Linked DNA regions of Caenorhabditis elegans. The protein of the gene in region 1 purifies or fractionates together with the protein of each later gene. This does not show direct contact. Each region holds a gene or a part of one and is shown on either strand. Other genes may lie near its edges. The genes, in order: wars-1, M04F3.4 and lars-1.

Region 1 (8,012 bases):
AAAATCCAATTTTTCGGCAAAAAATTTCAAAAAACCGAAAAATTTTGAAAAAAGGCCAAAATTGTAGCGGAAAACTCGATTTTTCAGCGGAAATTCAAATTTTTTGGGAACTTTTCTGATACTCTGGTTGAAAATCCAATTTTTAGGCCAAAAATTTCAAAAAAACCGAAATTTTTTGAAAAAGGTCAAATTTTAAGGCTAAAAAATCCAAAAATTCTGGAAAAAACGGGGGAAACTAAATTTTAAGCAAAAAATTAAATAAGAAAAAACACCAACAACGAGTAAAAAAAAAAAGGAAAATCTCAACAATTGGGCCTAAGCCTGAGCCTAAACGGCCTAATATTTATAGGCCAATGGCCGAACTTTGACAAATTCTTCGACAGTCTCATCGGTGACCAGCTTGCGTCGCTCCTGCATTTCCAGTACAATTTCCTGTACTTTTTGTGTGGCAAGGGCCTTCAATTCACCCGAAAGCATTTCTCCTTTCGTGTAATTCTCTCGGATTTCGGCCAGCTTCTCGTCGTCGTCGAGGAAGAAACGAAGGAATTGATATGAGATATCCACGTCACAGTTGCCACCTTTTTCGCGATGCTCTTGCACAGTTTGTTGACCCCCCGAAAATGCGTATTTGTTGATCTGAAAAGGACAAAAAATTGAAATTTTTTTTTCGAACTTTTTAAAAAGTTGTCCCGACAATTGCGGGGACATGGGACACTCCAAATAATTTTTCAGTGAGATTTTCGAAATCCCCATGAAATTTGCGGAATTTTGACACCCATATTGACTATGTTCTGAGAATTGGAAATTTCAGGTCGAAATAGGCCGATTTTAGGCCGCTTTAGACCCAATAATAAAAATTATTAAGCATTCATTTCTTACATTTTGATTACTTTAATGAGATCAATATAAATTGCCATGATTCTAAAAAATATGTTTTTGGGCCGAAAATGGGCCTATTTAGGCCGATTTTAGGCTGTTTTGAGAACAAAACTATACATTTCCAAAATATAGGCTATTTATATTCCATAAATCTAGTGAGTAGATATATATACCAAAATCTAGAAATGTATATTTTTAGGCCGAGAATGGCCTATTTCGGCCTGAATTTTCAAATTTTCAGAACCTAGTCGACATGGGTGTCAAAATTTCGTAAATTTCATGGAGAATTCGGATTTCATGAGGAAAAATTATGAAAATCCAAAGAATCGCAAAATTTAGTAATTTTTTTTTTAATTTGAATTTTTTGGACTTTTTTAAAATTTGTCCCGACAAGTGTGGGGACATGGGACACTTCTCGTATTTTTTTAAGTGCTATTTTCGAAATCTCCATGAAATTTCCAAAATTTTGACACCCATATTGACTATGTTCTGAAACATTGAGTTTCCAAGCCGAATTATGCCGATTCTGGGCCGTTTTGGGCCGAAGCGTGTGAATTCTCATAACCTAACCAATATTTAGCCTACATATTTGCAAGCACAACATATTTTGACCAAATTCCAAAATTGTATATTCTAGGGCCCAAAGTGGTCTAAAATCGGCCTATTTCGGCCTGAAAATTCGGGCTCACCGAATCTAGCCGATATGGGTGTCAAATTTCCGCAAATTTCAAGGAGAATTCGAATTTCGACATGAAAAACACGCAAAATTCACAGAAAATGTGAAAACTTAAAACGGTGTTGTCAGCTCTTTTTAGGCCGATTTAGGCCGACCTTTCAACCAATTTTGCCTCATATTGCATCAATTTTCCAACAAATTTTAGTTTTTATACTACGTGATGGAATCAAAAATCATACAAACTACAATTTATATCTATTCCAAAAGAAAAGAAAAATATGATGATAAGAAGTACAAAATAATTCATCATTTATCATCATTAAGTGATTATTTTTCAGAGAAAACTCATTTTTCCATCAAAATCATCATTTTTCACTTATTTCGACCGCCTAATGATAACGACTATGCTCATTTCGAAAAAAAAACACGTTATTTTCCAGTAAAATTGTACTTCAGGAGTTTCTGGTACGTTTTTTAAATGTTTTTTTTCCAAAAATTGAGTTTCCAGGCCGAAATAGGCCGTTTACAGACCGTTATGGGCTCAAAAAATATTTTTTTTTTTTGGAATCTAGTGAACGCATATTTTTTTAATCGAATATGAGAAATTTGTTTCGTGTAAGTTCTCGAAAATTTTGAATTTTAGGCCTGAAAAGGCTTAAGCTCTGCCTATTTCGGTCTGGAAATTTAAAACTTCAAAACCTGAGTCTATGTTAAACATAATTAATCGTTTTTAAATTTTTTTTAAATTTCAAGGAAAATTCTTTGTCCGAAATTTCAGGCCGTTTCCGGGCTGTTTAGGCCCAGAAACTTTTTGAGGCTCAGAAAAACACGAAGGTTGCGGAGAATTTGAATTTCTTGACGAAATGGGCAATTTTCAAAAAATTTTGAATTTTCGGGCCGTTTCAGGCCACCAAAATTTCACAAATTTTCGAAAAAAAAACTATGTCAGGCCGTTTCAGAACCGAGCCTGTATATCTTCCATAAATCTACTTGGTTGATATATATTGACAAAAATGTACGATTTTCGGCCCACAATGGCCTATTTCGGCCTGAAATTACAAAATTTCAAAACCAAGTCGATATGGGGGTCAAAATTTCGCAAATTTCGTGGAGAATTCGATATTTTAAAAGAAAAATTACGAAAACGCCAGGAATCTAAAATTGCATTCGTTTTTTCGCAAATTTTCAATTTTGGAGGGATTTGTCTAATTTTCGGTCGTTTTTTCATGAAAAAACTCAATTTTCCGTCGTTTTTTCATGAAAAAACAAAATTTTCGTTCGTTTTTCCGTGAGAAAACTCAATTTTCGGTGGTTTTTTCACGAAAAAACTCAATTTTCGTTCGTTTTTTCATGAAAAAACTCATTTTTCGGTCGTTTTTTCAAGAAAAAACTCAATTTTCGCTGCTAATCACCTTATTCTTAATCTGTTTCGCCGTATCACTCAAAAAGATACACGTATTCGGCTCAGAAGCGCTCATCTTCGTCTGTGCTCCCGTAAGAGCCGGTAGGAATGTGGAAAAGATTAAAGATGGCTTAGAGGCCTTCAATCTTGGAGCCACGTCACGTGTCATACGGAAAAATGGGTCCTGGTCGATGGCACACGGGATCAGACATGGAATATCGTTTCGTTTTCCGAAAATTTGTGGAAATGATGAAGCAAAGCACGGAGCCGCTTCGACAGCCGGAAAAGCCGCTTTTCCGAGACAATCCTCGGGGGTGAAGCCGAAAATCGCTCGGGCCTGATTCGTATTGACGACTTTCCAGATTTTGACGATATTCTCGTAGAACGGTGGGCACATGTAGTCGAAATTGTTGAAAATGAAGGTTTTTGTCGGATCAAAACCGACGGAAATGATGTCTTTCATGTTTTCACGGGCCATTTTTTTCGCCTCGTCGACCTGAAATTTGAATGAAAAAATGAACATTTTTTAGACTTCAAAAAATTTGTGTCCCGACAATTGCGGGGACATGGGACAGACACTCCACGTAATTTTTCAGTAATGTTTTCAAATTCGCTATGAAATTTCCGAAATTTTAACACCCATATTGACTAGGTTCTGAGAATTGGAAAGTTCAGGCCGATATAGGCCGATTCTGGGCCGTTTCGGGCCTAAATTTGTACATTTTGAAAAACCTAGCCTATGTGCATTCTATAAGTGGCACTAATTTGATATAAATTGGCGAAAATCTAAAAATGTATATTTTTCTGGGCCCACATTGGCCTATTTCGGCCTGAAAATTTAAACTGTCAGAACCTAGTCGTTATGGGTGTGTCAAATTTTCGCAAATTTTTTGGGGAGAATTCGAATTTTAAAAGGAAAAATCTTAAAATTTAGTAATTTTTTCTCAAAAATATGATTTTTTTGACTTTTTTTAAATGTGTCCCGACAATTGCGGAGACATGGGACACTCCACGTGATTTTTGAGTAATGTTTTCAAATTCTCCATGAAATTTCCGAAATTTTGGCACCCATATTGACTATGTTCTGAAAAATTGAGTTTCCAGGCCGAAATAGGCCAATTTCAGGCCGTTATGGGCTCAAAAATATAATTTTTTGGAATATAGTGGACACATATTTTTAAAATCAAACTTTAAAATGTTTTTCGTGTAGGTTCTGAAAATTTTGAAAATTGGGCCTGAAAAAGCCTAAACTCGGCCTTTTTCGGTCTGAAAAAAAAGATTACTAAAATTTTGGGATTCTCGTGTTTTTAGTAACTTGTTATATGAAAATTCGAAATCTTCATGCAATTTCCAAAATTTTGACACCCATATTGACTGGGTTCTGAAAACTTTAAGTTTCCAGGCCGAAATAGGCCGATTTCAGGCCGTTCTGGGCCCAAAAATTGAAGTTTTCAATGTATAGTTAATGTGTTTCAAGCCATAGTAAATATCGACTCGATTCTGAAAACATACACTTTTGGGCCCGAAAAGGCCCGAAATCGGCCTATTTCGGCCTGAAAATTCAATGTTTCAGAACCTAGCCGATATGGGTGTCAAAACTTCGGAAATTTCATGGAGAATTCGAATTTTCACATGAAAAATTACGAAAATCCGGGAAAAATTTCGAATTTTCAGCCAAAAAAAAAAAGCTCGGCTACCTTCATATCTTTCCACAAGAATTTCTCGTCATCAGTCATTTGAATGACAAGTGGCACATCGAACACCTCCTGAAGCCATTTTGTGAAGATAAATGGGACTAAATGGCCCAAATGTAGGCTTCCAGACGATGCTCCGCGGCCTGTGTACAGGTAGAATGGTTTTCCCTGCTCTTTTCGATCCAAAATTGCCGTCAAATCACGATGAGCAAAGAACATTCCACGGCGGAGCATTGGGGAGGCTTTGTGTCCGGTAACACGTTCGAAACGGGCAATTATCTCCTCGTCGAGCTTCCGGCAACCGAATTTCACTGGAAAAATTGAGAAATTTTGGTGTAAAAACTGTAAAAATTGGTGAATTTTTAGCGAAAATTTCAGTTCAAATATGGAAAATTTGAATTCTCCATGAAATTTCCGAAATTTTGACACCCATATCGGCTAGGTTCTGAAAATTGGAAATTACAGGCCGAAATAGGCCGATTTCAGGCTATTTTAGGCCTTAGGTTACATAATTCGGAATTTGGACGAAATATATTGTTCTTGCAAATATCTAGAACAAATATTGACTGGGTTCGGAGAATTTATGCACCTCGGCCCAAAACAGCCCTGAAATCGGCCTATTTCGGCCTGAAACTCTAATTTCTCAGAACCCAGTCAATTTGGGTGTCAAACTTTCGGAAATTGTATGGAGATTTCGAAAATTTTACTGAAAAATTATATGGTGTGTCCCATGTCCCCGCAATTGTCGGGACAAATGGTGAAAAAGTCAAAAAAATGCAAATTTTTGAAGAGAAATTACTAAATTTTGAGATTTTCGTGTTTTTTCCCAACAAAATTCGAATTCTCCTTGAAATTTGCGGAAATTTGACACCCATATCGGCTAGGTTCTGAAAATTTAAAATTTCAGGCCGAAATAGGCCATTCTGGGCCAAAAATATCTATAATTTTTTAGATTTTAGTCAATATGTAACAAGTTAGTATATTTATGGAATAAGGTTCTCGAAATCTACAATTTATACTTTTCAAGCCCAAAACGGCACTGAAATCGGCCTATTTCGGCCTGAAATTTCAAATTTTCAGAACCCAGTCAATATGGGTGTCAAAATTTCGCAAATTTCATGGAGAATGCGAATTTTGATGGGAAAAATCACACGAAATTCAGTGGAAACACTTTTTTTTACAAAAAAAAAATTCGATTTTAGCCAATTTTCTTGGGGGTTTAGGCTCATTTATCTGGATTTTCTCCGTGTTTTTCAGCCACCAATTTTCTTCTCCGTACCAATAAGCTTATCATAATCGATTCCAGTGGCTTTTGTAGTGGTAACCTCCCATGGTGTAACCCGATCTTCTTCATCTTCCTGAACTCCTCCTCCGGCGGCTCCTCCGTTCACTTTTAAATTTTCAATTTCCGCCGCAACTTGTTCGGCTGGAGCTGCCATTTTTGCTGTGTTGAACCCTGAAAAAAATAAATTGGGGTGAATTTTACGAAGCTTTTTACAAAAATTGAATAAAAACCAGAAAAATCTGAGAATTTTGTGTGAAAAAATCGAAAATTTTCCATAAAATTTCACATTTTTAAAGCCATTTTTCTACAAATTTTCAGAAAAAATATAAAATTTGTCGAAAAATCAAATTTTTATGCAAAATTTTAGGGACAAAAATTGAAATTATCGAATTTAAAAATAAATTTTCAAAATTTACATTTCTAGGCGAAAATATGGATTTTTAGTAAAAATTGGCAATTTTCGGGCAAAAATGAATAATTTCTGATCAATATCGAATTTTTGGAAGAAATTTAGGCGTTTTTCAGCAAAAAATCCAATTTTTTAGGCGTTTTTTCGGATTTAATTGTATTTTTTTCAGTGTTGTGTCTGGAAATTTCTGGAAAAAACTGGATTTAAAAAAAAAAAATTTTCCTGAAAAAAAACCAAATTTTCACGAAATTTGCTCCAAACAATGTGTGATTTTTAAAGGATCTCTATGCAAATTTTAGGAAAATTCAAATTTTATGTTATTTACTCGAAAAATCTAATTTGTGACAAAATTTTCACCAAATTTCTGAAAAAAAAACGTTTTTTTAAATAAATTTTAACCGAAATTGCGCGATTTTATAATGATTTTTTAGTAAATTTTCAGAAAAAATCTGAGTTTTTATTAAATTTTGAGGATTTTTATGTAAAATTTTAGAGCGACAAAAATTGAAATTATTGAATTAATAAAATTCGATTTTCGGTAGAATTTTAATTTTTCGCTCAAAATTGGAATTTCTAGCCGAAAAAACGATGAATTTTTCCGGCAAAAATTCGCATTTTCAGGGAATTTTCACGGTAAAATATAATAAATTCTGATTAAAATCAAAATTTTTGGAAGAAATTTCAATTTTTTGCGTTTTTCAGACAAAAAACGAATTTTAATTTGATTTTTTTTCAAATTTTTCCTGCAAAAAAAATCTCAAAAATAAGAAAAGAATAGGTAAAAATTGTGATAAAAAACACAAAAAATCGCAAAAAAAATCACAAAATTTCCACAGAAAATGTATATATTTGCAGTCAAAAAAAAATGTGGTGGGGGGATCAGTCAACAAAATAAATTTTTAGAAAAAAGTTTTTAAAAAAGATCATAATTTGATGAGAGTTAACAAAAAAATAAATTAAAATGGATAAATTAACACAAAAATCGTAGGAAAATTCAATTTTAGCCAAAATTCGGGTGAAAATTCTGAAAAATACAGAAAAAGCCAAATTTTCTGAATTTTAACATAAAAAATGATGATGGAAAATTGCAGAAAAATCGATTTTCAGGGGATTTTAGGAGAGAAAATTCTGAAAAATATAGAAAATTACAGTAAAAATTCAATTTTTGGCCAAATTTCGGGTGAAAATTCTGAAAAATACAGAAAAAGCCAAATTTTCTGAATTTTAACATAAAAATGATGGAAAATTGCAGAAAAATCGATTTTGGGCCAAATTTGCTGAATTTTCCATCTATTTCGGTGGTGGCTCTTCAACTGCTGGAGCTCCTGGAGCCGGTGCTGCAGTAGCAGCAGGTTCTTGCATTTCATGATCCATATCCTCGAAATGAATGTCCGCTTCCTTTTTATCGTCCATTTCCTGCTTTTTCTTTCTTTCCATAGCTGAAAATATCGGAAAACTTAGGTTTTTCAGAGATTTTTTTTTTCGAAAAAAATCAAAGTTTTTGCTACTTTTGTGGCATTTTTTGCGAAAAAAATGGATTTTTTTTGGAAATTTCCAATTTTCAGAGGTAAAATTTCAGCGAAAATGCGATTTATAATTATAATTATAGTATATATGCAGCACTAAAATGTACATTTTTCGGCCTAGAATGGCCTATTTCCGGGCCT
Region 2 (4,183 bases), on another chromosome or scaffold:
TCACTCCAGTTGAAGACGACAAGGATTTCACGATCTTCGAGCTCGAGGCAGAAGCTGCACGTCTGTTCTTCCAAAAGAACGTGAGCGAGAAACTGAAGTCGGTCGACTCGGATGGCTTCCAAGGAATGCTGGCACCACCGAAGAGCAGAATGTCACAAACATCGCATCAAAGCTCGCAAGGATCGGACACCAAGGAGAGATTGTATGCTCAACCGCAAAAAGTGATGACGGGAGCGAACCAAGGAGATGTGCTCAGAGAGCGCATTACCGCCGTCTTGATGGCTGTGCCAGAGGGTTCTCGTGACGAAGGTCGACATGTTTCGTGGATAGCTGAGCAAATTCAAGAAACGAACATTTCTATTGTTCGTAAGTGCGTCGGTGAGATGGTCGAGAACGGATTGGTCTACACCACTGTCGACGAGGAAACTGTTTCCGCTATTTAACTGCTGATTGTAACATTATTTTCATTATCCTTCTTTCATCCCACTGGGAAATTCACTTTTGATACTCGAAACTATGAATGATTCATACTTTAAAAGCGTTTATTAGTAAATTTGAACATAATTAATTAGACGCTAATGATGCGAAGAATCCGAGGAGGAAAGAGAGCATGAGGAACGGCAAATCACATTATTAACCCAGACGATTGAACACACTTCGAGCTACCTGAAAACAAAACGAAATTGAATTTAACTTTTTTTCGAATGGAAGCTAGTAGAAGTGCTAGGTGTTAGGTCGAAAATGGATTGTGGTTGGTTCTCTAAATACTCTTAAAATCACATTTTCAATGAAAAGACCATTGTCAGGAACTGCTCGTAGCCGACGGTGATGACTCCATCGCGGTCCGTGTCGACGTCTCTGAAAATTAAGTAATCAGATTGTAAAGTATGATACTCCAAATTTTTTGGTCAAAAATTACTATAGAAACATAGAAAATAGTTAGTTCCATCTAAAAATATTTTTAAAGTAATATTTAATTTTGTTGAAAAATTTTGAATTTTTTAAAAGAGCTTTTCTCTAAATTTCTAAATCAATTTTAGCCCTGATTTCTAACCTGAAGGCAGCAGTGAGGGTCTGAAGAACGACGCAAAGTTGGATAAAATCGTCGAAATTGATTCGATTACTGTGGGATCTGTCGAATTTGTGCATAAGGATGTTGTAGAATTGTGGAGAGAGACGGTATCCTGAAGAAATATATGATCAGTCATCGAGTTTCCGATTTTCTTATCGCTTTTCTATGATTAAAAACTAACCAAATTGTGTGAGAGCATTGGTCAGCTCACTCTTATCAATATTTCCCGAACCATCGGTATCAAAACCACGGAAACAGTTTGTCCAGTCGTTGATATATCTCCACAGAGCCTGAAAATATGATTATTTTCACAAATTCTGGTTTATATTTTTTCAAACCTGGAATTCTTGAAAATTGATTGCGCCGTCTCCATTCGAGTCGAACATTCCGATCATTAAACGGCAAGTTTCCGGATTGAATGGGTTCCATGTTCCGTTGGAGAGAGCAGTTTGAAGCTCATCGGAACTGATTTGCCCTGATCTGAAAACTGGGAAATTTTGTTTAATTTTTAAATATTATGTAAATAATAAATAAAATTTTAAATATTAAATATTAAATAAAAAAATATAAATAAAAATTTTAAATTTATAAATGTTTGTTTTTGCGATTCTTGGCTCTTGAAAAAATACAAAAATTATATTCTGCGCATAAAATACGGTAACCAGTCTCGAAACGACAAGTTCTGGTTTTTGTTAAAAGATACGCGCCTTTGAAGAGTACTATAGCTTCAAAGTTCATCGATTTTTCATATTTTTTCTCGTGATTTTATACAAATTTGAGCGTTTCATTTTTTTTAAACATAAATATATTTTGTATCAAAAAATTATGAAAAATCGATAAAAATTCCGCAGCAATAAAAGTTTGAAACTACAGTGCTCTTTAAAGGGACACACATTTTTCCAAAAACAGAAATTTGTCGTGTCGAGACCGGGTACAGCGAAATTTTTTTTTGTTTTTTTATTCATAATTTTGACAATAAATTTTCAACGAGAAACATATTTATTGATTTTATTTACTCCAATTTTAAAATTGTTATATCAATTTAACTATTAAAACTATTAATAAAAACATACCGATCCTTGTCGACAGAAGAGAAGATTTGTTGCAAGTTAGGTTGTTGAAAAGCCATCTAAAAATGGATAAAATCTGTGTGAATTGGTAAAATAAAAATAAAATGAAATGAGAGAAGAATGTGAAGTACTCAAAAGAGACGCAGACGGTGAGACAACAACAAAATGTGTGCGGTGATGATGCATCGATGTGGGCGGAGCCCAGAAACACTGTTGAGTAGTGACGTCACATTATCCGTGGTGAGTCATTCACTCTCTTCAGGGGGATGGGAAAATGATGAATATTGTGAAATAAGGTGATGAAAAAGTGAATGTTAACAGTTGAGATGTACGAAAATAGTTAGGAAGTTTTCGTAATATTTTGAAAAACATCGAATATTTCTAGTTGGAGAATCTCAAAGGGGCTGGAATATAACTCTGATCATGAAAAAACTATGAAAAATCGAAACAATTCCAGTTTGAAATTACAGTCCTCTTTAAAGGTGCACACAGTTTTTCGCTAAAATTTTAATTTAATTAAAAATATATTTATTTACTAAAAAATTCAGCATAACATAATAAAAACATAACACACAAGCTTTAGATAAAAATAAATGAAAATACCACAGCAACGAAGTTTTCAACCTACAGTAATCTTTAAAGGCGCAGTCCCATTTATGTTTACCAAAACTTGTCGTGTCGAGACCTGGTACCGTAGTTTTGTGGTAAAAAAATGCAAAAAATATAGTAATTTTTTTCCTAAAATAAACTTTTCTCTTTTTTCGACTTTTCAAAATGTTTGGAATAATTATTTGCCTGTCCAAATAAACTTTCTGAAAAATAAAACATATTTTGGATGAATAACGCATTAAAAAAAACAAAAATCGTTTATCTTTTTCGTCAGAAAGAACAATTGGGATCCCAAATTGAGGGAGAACATGCTTTTTATATACAGTACGAATGTTATTCTACATTTTAAAAGGAAAAGGAATAAAATAAACATAGAAAAAAGAGATAGAAAATGCCCGTTTTGGTATCAAACATAGTATTTTTGCAATTCAAAAGACTCCGAATAAAATAAGAAAAAAAAAACTAAATAAATTTAAAATCTATTTAAATTCGAAATTTTGCTGCTGCTGCAGTCGCTGAAGCTTGACCATTCACATTATTCGATCGATTGAAAGATGACATTTGATAGAATTGTTGTGGATGTGCTGGATCGTAAAGTCCAGCCGAATCCAGAGATTGACGGCTTCCCATAGTTGATCCATTCATTCGTTGCTCGGCAACTGAAGGAGCGGTCGGGGTGGCTGCAGTGATTTGGGATGTACGGCGGGCTGGTGGTGGTGGTCGAGATGCGGATGCTGAAAATTTTTTAATTCTGACTGGAAATTGATGGTGTAGATTTAGGAATTTTTATGAAAATCGAAAAACTAAAAAAAATAATTTTTTTTAGTTTTTCGAGAAATCAAAAAATAAAAATAAAATTTTTTTTGAATTATTTTTTGGAAATACATATAAGAAATATAGATTCATAAAAAATGTTGAATTTGATAAGAAAAAGATGTTTCGGCTTTTTAAAAATTTTGTTTAATAATTTCCAGTTTTTTTTTTGAAGAAATTTATTCTTTAAAAAATTAAAATCAGCATATTTTCAATATCCCGTTTTTTCTCGTCTTTTCCGTACAATTTTCTCAAATTTTTAGATTTTCAAAAAATCGAAAGTTTGGTTTTTTTCAATTTTTTGGAGTCATCATTGATTTTAACTTTTTTTTAAATACGGATTCAGATTTAAGTTAAATTTTTTTTCATTTGGAAATACCGAAAAAATTGAGAAAAAATTTATAAATTTTGGAAAGTAAAAAATCTCTTTGTTTGAATTTCTTCCATTGAAAAATCACATTTTTTGTTTTTTCAAATTATAGCGGTTTTTTTCAATTCAAAATTATCAAATGAATTTAAAAAACTGAAAACGCACTAGTTCTCATGCGAACTTGTTGATTTTGCATCGAATTTGCAGATTGTGGAAGTGGTGGCTGATGTGATAAAACTCCATAATTAC
Region 3 (7,684 bases), on another chromosome or scaffold:
GGACGAAGAAGATATCTTCTTGGAAGCCTATCCCATGGGTAATGCTGGAAGAAATACCCTCTTCTATAGGCGACAACTGGCCTCTTTGTGGTAGTTTGAACGGGATTCTGATTGCGTCCAATCGGATTTGGGTTCAAAAGTGGTGCACGAGTTGGAATATCGAATTTCGGTGCGATTGTTGAGTAGGTTACTTGTTTCAAATTATGGTTGGCACCAGCATTCTTGACCGGTTGAGATGAAAAATCAGAATAATCGTCACCAACATTATCCTGTCTTGCCTAAAAATTATCCATATTCGTAGGTACGAATTGTCCAAAGTAACTCACCTTTCTTTCAGCCAACGTGACCCCACAAATCGCCGCTAGAAAAATAATAGATCTCCTCATCTAGAAGTGTGTAAGATTGTTAAAATCGGTCAATCTCCATCGTCGTTAAATACTCCCAAAATCGGGTTGACTAGAAGTGTAACAAAACCTTCAAATAGCTGGACATCATCTGCCTCAAACAGATCTGGTTCTTGGCATATCGGGTAAAATTATATAAGTTTGTTGCGTAGTGATATACAACAAGGTGAGAAAGTGATGAAGACGACGGACGTCCATGGTTGCGCAATAAGTGAAATTAGAACTGGAAATTTTCGGAGATAAGGAATGTTTTTTTTTGTATATTGCGAATTAGGATATATCATGTTTTGCCTGGGTTAATCAGTAGTATCACTATGAAAATATATGATCTATTGTGTACCTTCTATTAAGAAGATGTTTAAATTTTTTGGTATTAAAATTTTGGTTAAAAAACAATTAAAAATTGGGAGAATTTCAGAAGATTTATGGAAACATATTTAGTTAAATATGGCTATTTTACTAAAATCTAGATTTCGGAACATTCTGCTTTGAGAAATTTAGATGAATTAATACAAATCGAGTCAAGTTCGTCCAGCGAAGAACCTATCTCAAGTCACTATTAAAGTCTGTCAGCCGGTATTTATAGCAAGGAGAAAGTGATGTTGAGTGTAATCCCACTTGTTGTAATCTGACCAATGTGTGTGTCCAACTTGATAAATTGGCCTTCATTGGATATGGAAAAGGAATAATTTTATGAACTAAGTATATTTTGCAAAATTCCATTCAAAAGTAGAAACCGTACTTGATTCGTTAAGAGCAAAACGGAGCATTTACGAATTTAATTCCAAGTAATATGGTGCAGTGTGACCTATTCCTGAAATCAGTCGAATATGAAATATTGCAAAAATTCCTTTTCAATATGTTTCATGTTGTAGCAGTTGTAGAATTTTTATATACCAAAAAATTTAAAGATAATTAAATTTATTATAAACTATTTTAATGTACCTTTAGCCTGTTATAGATTACTAATAATTGTAGAAAAAATCCAATTTCTGTTGTTGCTCCGAAAAAATCACTAATTGTATTTCTATAAATTGGTAAATTATTGTTCGAGAACTCGAAAAGTACATTTTTCTTCATTTTTTATAATATTGTATTATTTTATCGCCTTCTCCGAGTGATTGAAACCCCTATGAAAAGTTGGGAAAGTTGACGTGGCCGCGGTCGATGCCATTGCAAAACTAGGCCATGATAATGCAGGATTTTTAGAACGGTAGAAAATGGGCCTATTTTAAGTTGTTCCCTTTAAAATTTGAACTTTTTTATCGACAATTAAATCTCAATATCGATTTTTTTCCACAAACTTGTTTGCTTTCTAATCACTTATTGATTTTTTTCAAATAGAAACCAAGTAAATTTCATCATTTTGTGTTTTCTGATGTAATCTATTGCTTAAAAGAATTTTTTAAAGGTTTTAATTATTTTTAAATATCAGGGTAACAAATATCGACAATGTCGAAAATCAATAAGGAGCGGAAGAAGGTTGCTCAACTTCAAGAAATTGAAAAGAGCATTCAGGAGCTGTGGGAGAGCAAGAAGGCTTTCGAGGCGGATGCTAGGGATGAGTGAGTTTTTTCTGAAAATTTTGAATTATTTTCAATTTAAAAAATTTCAGTGGAAAACCAAAGTACCTCGTCACGTTTCCCTTCCCATACATGAATGGACGTCTTCATTTGGGACACACATTCTCAGCTTCAAAATGTGAATTTGCCGCCGGTTTCCAACGTCTTCAAGGCAAAGAAGTGCTCTTTCCATTCGGATTTCATTGTACTGGAATGCCAATTAAAGCATGTGCAGATAAATTGAAAAGAGAAATGCAAGATTTCGGATATCCACCAAATTTCCCGGAAGATGTTGTCGAGGAAGTTAAAGAAGAAGTTTCGGCTGTCGATGAGATTATCAAGGATAAGAGTAAAGGAAAGAAGAGTAAATTGGTGGCAAAAACTGGAAATGCAAAATACCAATGGCAAATTATGAAGTCTCTGGGATTGTGTGATGAGGAAATTAAGGAATTCTCGGATCCAAATCATTGGCTATATTATTTCCCACCACATTGCATTGCTGATCTTAAGAAAATGGGACTAAAGGTAAGATTTAAAGTGTTGAAATCATCTTAAAGTGTTGAAAGTGAGTTCTGTAAAAATAGTACTAAATTATTATGTTTTTCCAATATTTTTGATTAAAATTTAGTGATAGAATTTGGAAAAAAAACATTTGATTTATCTGAAAATAGTTTTTATTTTAGTGATTAAAAGTTGAAAATAACCTGTAAAAAAATTTCGATAATTGGTCGGTTTTTACCGGCGATTTTTTTGGCACTTTTCCAATTTTTCAACCTTAATCAAAGCTATTTTCAGATAAATGAAATATTTTTCTATATTATATCCCTGAATTGTATTTAATGAATATTGGAACAAAATGCCTTACTTCCTCATTTTTGCTTCTCCATTTTAATAATAATATAATTCTCAAAAAAATTTAACTTATCACAAAATTAAAAAAGAAACATTTCGAAATTATTAAATTAAAAATTGCCATTTTTCAGGCTGATTGGCGTCGTTCCTTCATCACCACCGACGTGAATCCATACTTCGACTCATTCGTCCGTTGGCAGTTCAACCTTCTTCGTGCAGCTAAGAAGATCGATTTCGGAAAGAGATATACAATTTATTCACCGAAAGACGGTCAACCATGCATGGATCACGATCGTGCCAGTGGAGAAGGTGTTGGTCCACAAGAATATACTCTTATTAAACTGAAAGTTCTTGATCCAAAACCTCAAGCTTTGAGCCATATCAAAGAGGATATTTATCTCGTTGCGGCTACTTTGAGACCTGAAACAATGTACGGACAAACGAATTGTTATCTCCATCCAGATATTCAATATTCCGTGTTTTATGCGACGGAAAACGAGAAACAAGTATTTGTGGCAACTGCCAGATCTGCTAGAATCATGTCATATCAAGGATTGACTAAGGAAAATGGTAAAGTCAACTATGTCCTGGGACTCGAGAAAATCGCTGGAAGCAAGATTCTCGGAGCTCCACTCTCTGCGCCTCTCGCAAAATACGAAAGAGTTTATGCATTGCCAATGTTGACTATCAAGGATGATAAGGGAACTGGTGTTGTTACAAGTGTACCATCAGACTCTCCAGATGATTTTGCAGCTTTGTCGGATCTCAAGAAGAAGAAGCCATTGAGAGAAAAATATGGATTGACTGATGAGATGGTTCTTCCATTCGAACCAGTTCCAATTATTAAAATCGAAGGACTTGGGGATTTGGCTGCAGTTGAAATGTGCTCAAGGCTGAAAATTGAGTCTCAAAATGAGAAGGACAAACTGGAAGAGGCGAAGAAAGAAGTTTATTTGAAAGGATTCTACGATGGAGTTATGCTCGTCGGAAAGTATGCTGGAAAGAAGACAGCCGACGTCAAGAAAGTTATTCAAGATGATTTGACAGCTGAAGGTCTTGCCACGAAATATGTGGAGCCTGAGAAGAAGGTGATGAGCAGATCTGGAGATGAGTGCGTCGTTGCGTTGTGTGATCAATGGTATTTGAATTATGGAGAGGCTGAATGGAAGGCTGCTGCAAAGAAGGTTCTTGAGCCACTCAGAACTTTCAATGATGAGGTATATTTTTTTAAATTATTTTTGAAAAAATATTATGTAGACGTCTAAAAATAAGAATCTTCGCCATCTCTTACGCGCAGAGGTCTTGCCACGCAGACAACGAGTTACTGTAACTTGCCGATCAAAGGGTTTTTTATTGCAGCATATTCTCTAAATAAAACCACAATTTTATCTAAAAATCGAAAAAATTTGTTCAAAGAATATCATAGTTTACAAATTACTCCAACTCTACGGACGATTTTTTTAAAACCCTTTTTGTTGAAATTGGAGTTTAATTTAAAGAATATGACGCAATAACGGCCCATTAGACAACAGAAGTTACAGTAATTCGTTGCCTGCGTCCTCTGCGCGTAAGATATGTCGAAAATTCTCATTTTTAGATGTCTATGTAGTATATTCTTATTCCGCTGAATTAAAATTTTCAGACCCGCCGTGGATTGGAAACCACAGTCGATTGGCTCCACGAGTATGCTTGCTCCAGAAGTTACGGTCTTGGAACCAAACTTCCATGGGATACTCAATACCTCATCGAATCTCTGTCAGACTCTACAATCTACAATGCTTATTATACAGTTGCTCATCTTCTCCAACAGGGAGCTTTTGATGGATCAGTCGTCGGACCTGCTGGAATTAAAGCTGATCAGATGACAGATGCTTCGTGGAGTTATGTATTCCTCGGAGAAATTTACGATTCGAAAACCATGCCGGTTGAGGAGGAAAAGCTTAAATCATTGAGGAAAGAATTCATGTATTGGTATCCAATTGATATGAGAGCATCTGGAAAAGATCTTATCGGAAATCATTTGACATATCTTCTGTTCAATCATGCTGCAATCTGGCCAACAGACACTTCAAAATGGCCAAAAGGAATTCGGGCCAATGGACATTTGCTCTTGAACAATGAGAAAATGTCGAAATCCACTGGAAACTTTATGACATTGGAAGAAGCCATCGAAAAGTTCAGCGCAGATGGTATGAGATTGAGTCTTGCCGATGCTGGGGATGGTTTGGAAGATGCTAACTTTGTGTACGCAATGGCAGATGCAGCTATTCTGAGACTATTCACTATGATCGAATGGATCAAGGAAATGATTGAACAACGGGATGCCGGACTTCTCCGAAAAGATGCAAAGAAATTCGCTGATCGAGTTTTTGCAAATGAAATGAATTCACTGATCGCTGCCACAGAACAAAATTATGAAGCTACCAACTTCAAGGATGCACTGAAAACTGGATTCTTCGAATATCAAGCCATTAGAGATACATACAGAGAACTTTGCGCTGGAATTGATGAGCCAATGAGCGAATCGCTTGTCTTTAGATTCATTGAAACTCAGGTATATTTTCAGAAAGATTTTTTTCTCAAGATGACAGATACCGATTATTAGTGTAAAAATTGAAAGAATTGTTTCAAATTCTGCAACAAAAATTCTAGAAAAACGAGAAAAAAAACAAATCAGTATTGCCGTATATTAAAAAAGTTTAGGAAATTTCTATAAATTTCTTAAAATCTATTTTCGTTCGATTAAGACTGATTTCTGTCATTTGGGGCAAAAAAAAAACGCCAGACGACACCTTTAAAAGTTTAATTTGTTTTTTATTTTAGATGCTCATCCTATCACCAATCTGCCCACATATTGCTGAATACATCTGGCAATTGCTCGGAAAAGACGGCTTGATTGTAAATGCTCCATGGCCAACTGTCGATCCTGTCGATGAGAAGCTCGCCATTGGTGCTCGTTTCATCACGGAATCGCTGGCCGAATTCCGTGCCCGACTGAAAACCTACATGACTCCAAAGAAGAAGGCACTGAAGGAGATTCCAGAAGTTCCAACTGAAGCAGTGATCTATGTTGCTAAAGAATATCCACCATGGCAGAAGACTATTCTTGATATTCTTGAGAAACAAGCCAAGGCTAATAATGGAGCACTTCCAGATAATAAAGCAATCAGTCAGCTCATTGGAAAAGAAGAATCACTCAAGAAATTCGCCAAAAAAGCGATGCCATTCGTTCAAATGATCAAGGAAAGATTCGAACAGAAGGGTGTTTCAGCATTGGCTTCTTCTAGTCCAGTTGATCAAACTTCAATTCTCAACGAGAATATTGATTTTATTATGAACGCTTTGGATTTGGATCGTGTTACTATTCGACATACTGATGAGGAGGGAATTGATGCGAATATTGTTGAGACTACAGTACCGCTGGTGCCAATGTTGAATTTCACGCCGAATAGAGTAAGGAAACATATTATAGGGGCATGGGAACATGCTCCGCCTTCTAACCATGGGTCTCGTTAGGTATTTGGCGGCAAAACCGTAAATTCAAACATTTTAAATTCGTCTCTGCAGTTTTCAAGCACGCCAAATACCTTACGAGACCCAACTGTAGGAGGCGGGGCGTTGTCAATCGGCAGTGGAGCGCATTTCCATATCAATTTCAAGAGGGGAATTTTTCTGCGTACCAATAATAATGACATCATAATTATTTTCAGCCAACAATCAAACTTGTCGCCAGAAATGTTCAAATCTGCAATGCAATGTTCGATGTTGATGTACCAATTGTTAATGGAGACAGTGTTTCAATGGTTATTCGGAAGATGAGACGCATCAGCAAGGCAATCAAACGTATGAGAAAACCCTATTCCGAAAACAATAAATTCAATTTATTATATTTTCAGCGAAATTCGAAGTGAGCCTCTGGAGATACAAGAACGCGGTTTGGGGAGATCGACAGATGATTTCGTACAGAAATCCATTCGAGGAGAACATTCAATTGTCCGACGCAGACATTTTCAATTTCGAGGCTGATAACAAGATTTCTGTGACTTCTGGAAGTGAAAAGTTCGATCTTGGGCGTACTATTGTGTACAAGGCTAACGTCCCAGAAAACTAGATTCTTTCTAAAAAATTATTTGTTCTTCTTGTTTCTAATAATATTATATCCCCACTTTTTGAGTTTTGTTGTTTCTATTCATTTTCATAATTTATACGTACCCGAATCCCTATTTCAGCTTTCACTGTTTTCTCCCTGTTTCCAAGTTGAATGAAAAGGTTTTTTTGTTATTATACTAGATTTTTGAAAACTGTGATTTGTTATCTAAGTATTTCAAACCTAATATTTTAAATGTGATTTTCTATTTTTTATCGGAAGTTTCCGTATTTCCAGTAACAGATGCCGTCACCATGTGAAAGCGGTAAAACGACAAATTGCTCCGGAGCACCTTCCTCGTCTTGTGGTGAATATTTTGATTATTACTCATTCGGGAAAATATGGGATTTTTATCGCAAAATTATGGTATCGGGTCTCGACACGATCGAATTACTTCCAAATGAAAAGTGGGTAACACATTGTTTTCTCGAGATTTTAAAGTCTACTAATTATTATTCATGTGACATCAAAATCTGGAAGGAGTGAGGCTACAGTACCTCATTTGAAAATATTTCGATCGTGTACAAACAAAAACAAAAATAAATTACTATACTTTTGCGTTAAAAAACTAAATTTTTCGAAGAAAATATCTGGAATAAAATATAACGAACAAAAATCTTTTCAGCGAAATCAGTAGAATGCTGCAAGAAGCAACTATCCGTTGGAGTACTACAACAAGTATCAGCGAGTTCATCTGGTGCAATTGTTACATCACTTTT

The links.
Region 2: the proteins of wars-1 (region 1) and M04F3.4 fractionate together in Caenorhabditis elegans (co-fractionation; one large-scale study listed by BioGRID). This does not show direct contact.
Region 3: the proteins of wars-1 (region 1) and lars-1 fractionate together in Caenorhabditis elegans (co-fractionation; one large-scale study listed by BioGRID). This does not show direct contact.

The regions. Positions count from the first base shown.
Region 1 is NC_003283.11:18,853,115-18,861,126, forward strand, and holds the start of wars-1 (Tryptophan--tRNA ligase, cytoplasmic), read right to left. Parts: upstream 6,108-8,012; 5' UTR 6,091-6,107; coding exon 5,931-6,090; intron 4,963-5,930; coding exon 4,655-4,962; intron 3,454-4,654; coding exon 2,968-3,453; intron 637-2,967; coding exon 337-636; 3' UTR 1-336. Other genes in the region: emb-4 (Intron-binding protein aquarius), read right to left, coding at 7,636-7,784.
Region 2 is NC_003279.8:4,770,824-4,775,006, forward strand, and holds M04F3.4 (EF-hand domain-containing protein), read right to left. Parts: upstream 2,248-4,183; 5' UTR 2,202-2,247; coding exon 2,146-2,201; intron 1,553-2,145; coding exon 1,411-1,552; intron 1,363-1,410; coding exon 1,254-1,362; intron 1,185-1,253; coding exon 1,055-1,184; intron 859-1,054; coding exon 781-858; coding exon of another isoform or gene 777-780; exon of another isoform or gene 667-776; coding exon 663-666; 3' UTR 525-662; downstream 1-524. Other genes in the region: rpa-2 (Replication protein A C-terminal domain-containing protein), read left to right, coding at 1-443; M04F3.5 (IMD domain-containing protein), read right to left, coding at 3,235-3,485, 4,100-4,183.
Region 3 is NC_003281.10:4,180,957-4,188,640, reverse strand, and holds lars-1 (Leucine--tRNA ligase), read left to right. Parts: upstream 1-1,839; 5' UTR 1,840-1,856; coding exon 1,857-1,969; intron 1,970-2,019; coding exon 2,020-2,491; intron 2,492-2,949; coding exon 2,950-4,035; intron 4,036-4,460; coding exon 4,461-5,372; intron 5,373-5,641; coding exon 5,642-6,271; intron 6,272-6,528; coding exon 6,529-6,661; intron 6,662-6,714; coding exon 6,715-6,929; 3' UTR 6,930-7,092; downstream 7,093-7,684. Other genes in the region: R74.2 (FIP (Fungus-Induced Protein) Related), read right to left, coding at 1-278, 327-386; putative mitochondrial carrier C16C10.1, read left to right, coding at 7,209-7,272, 7,591-7,684.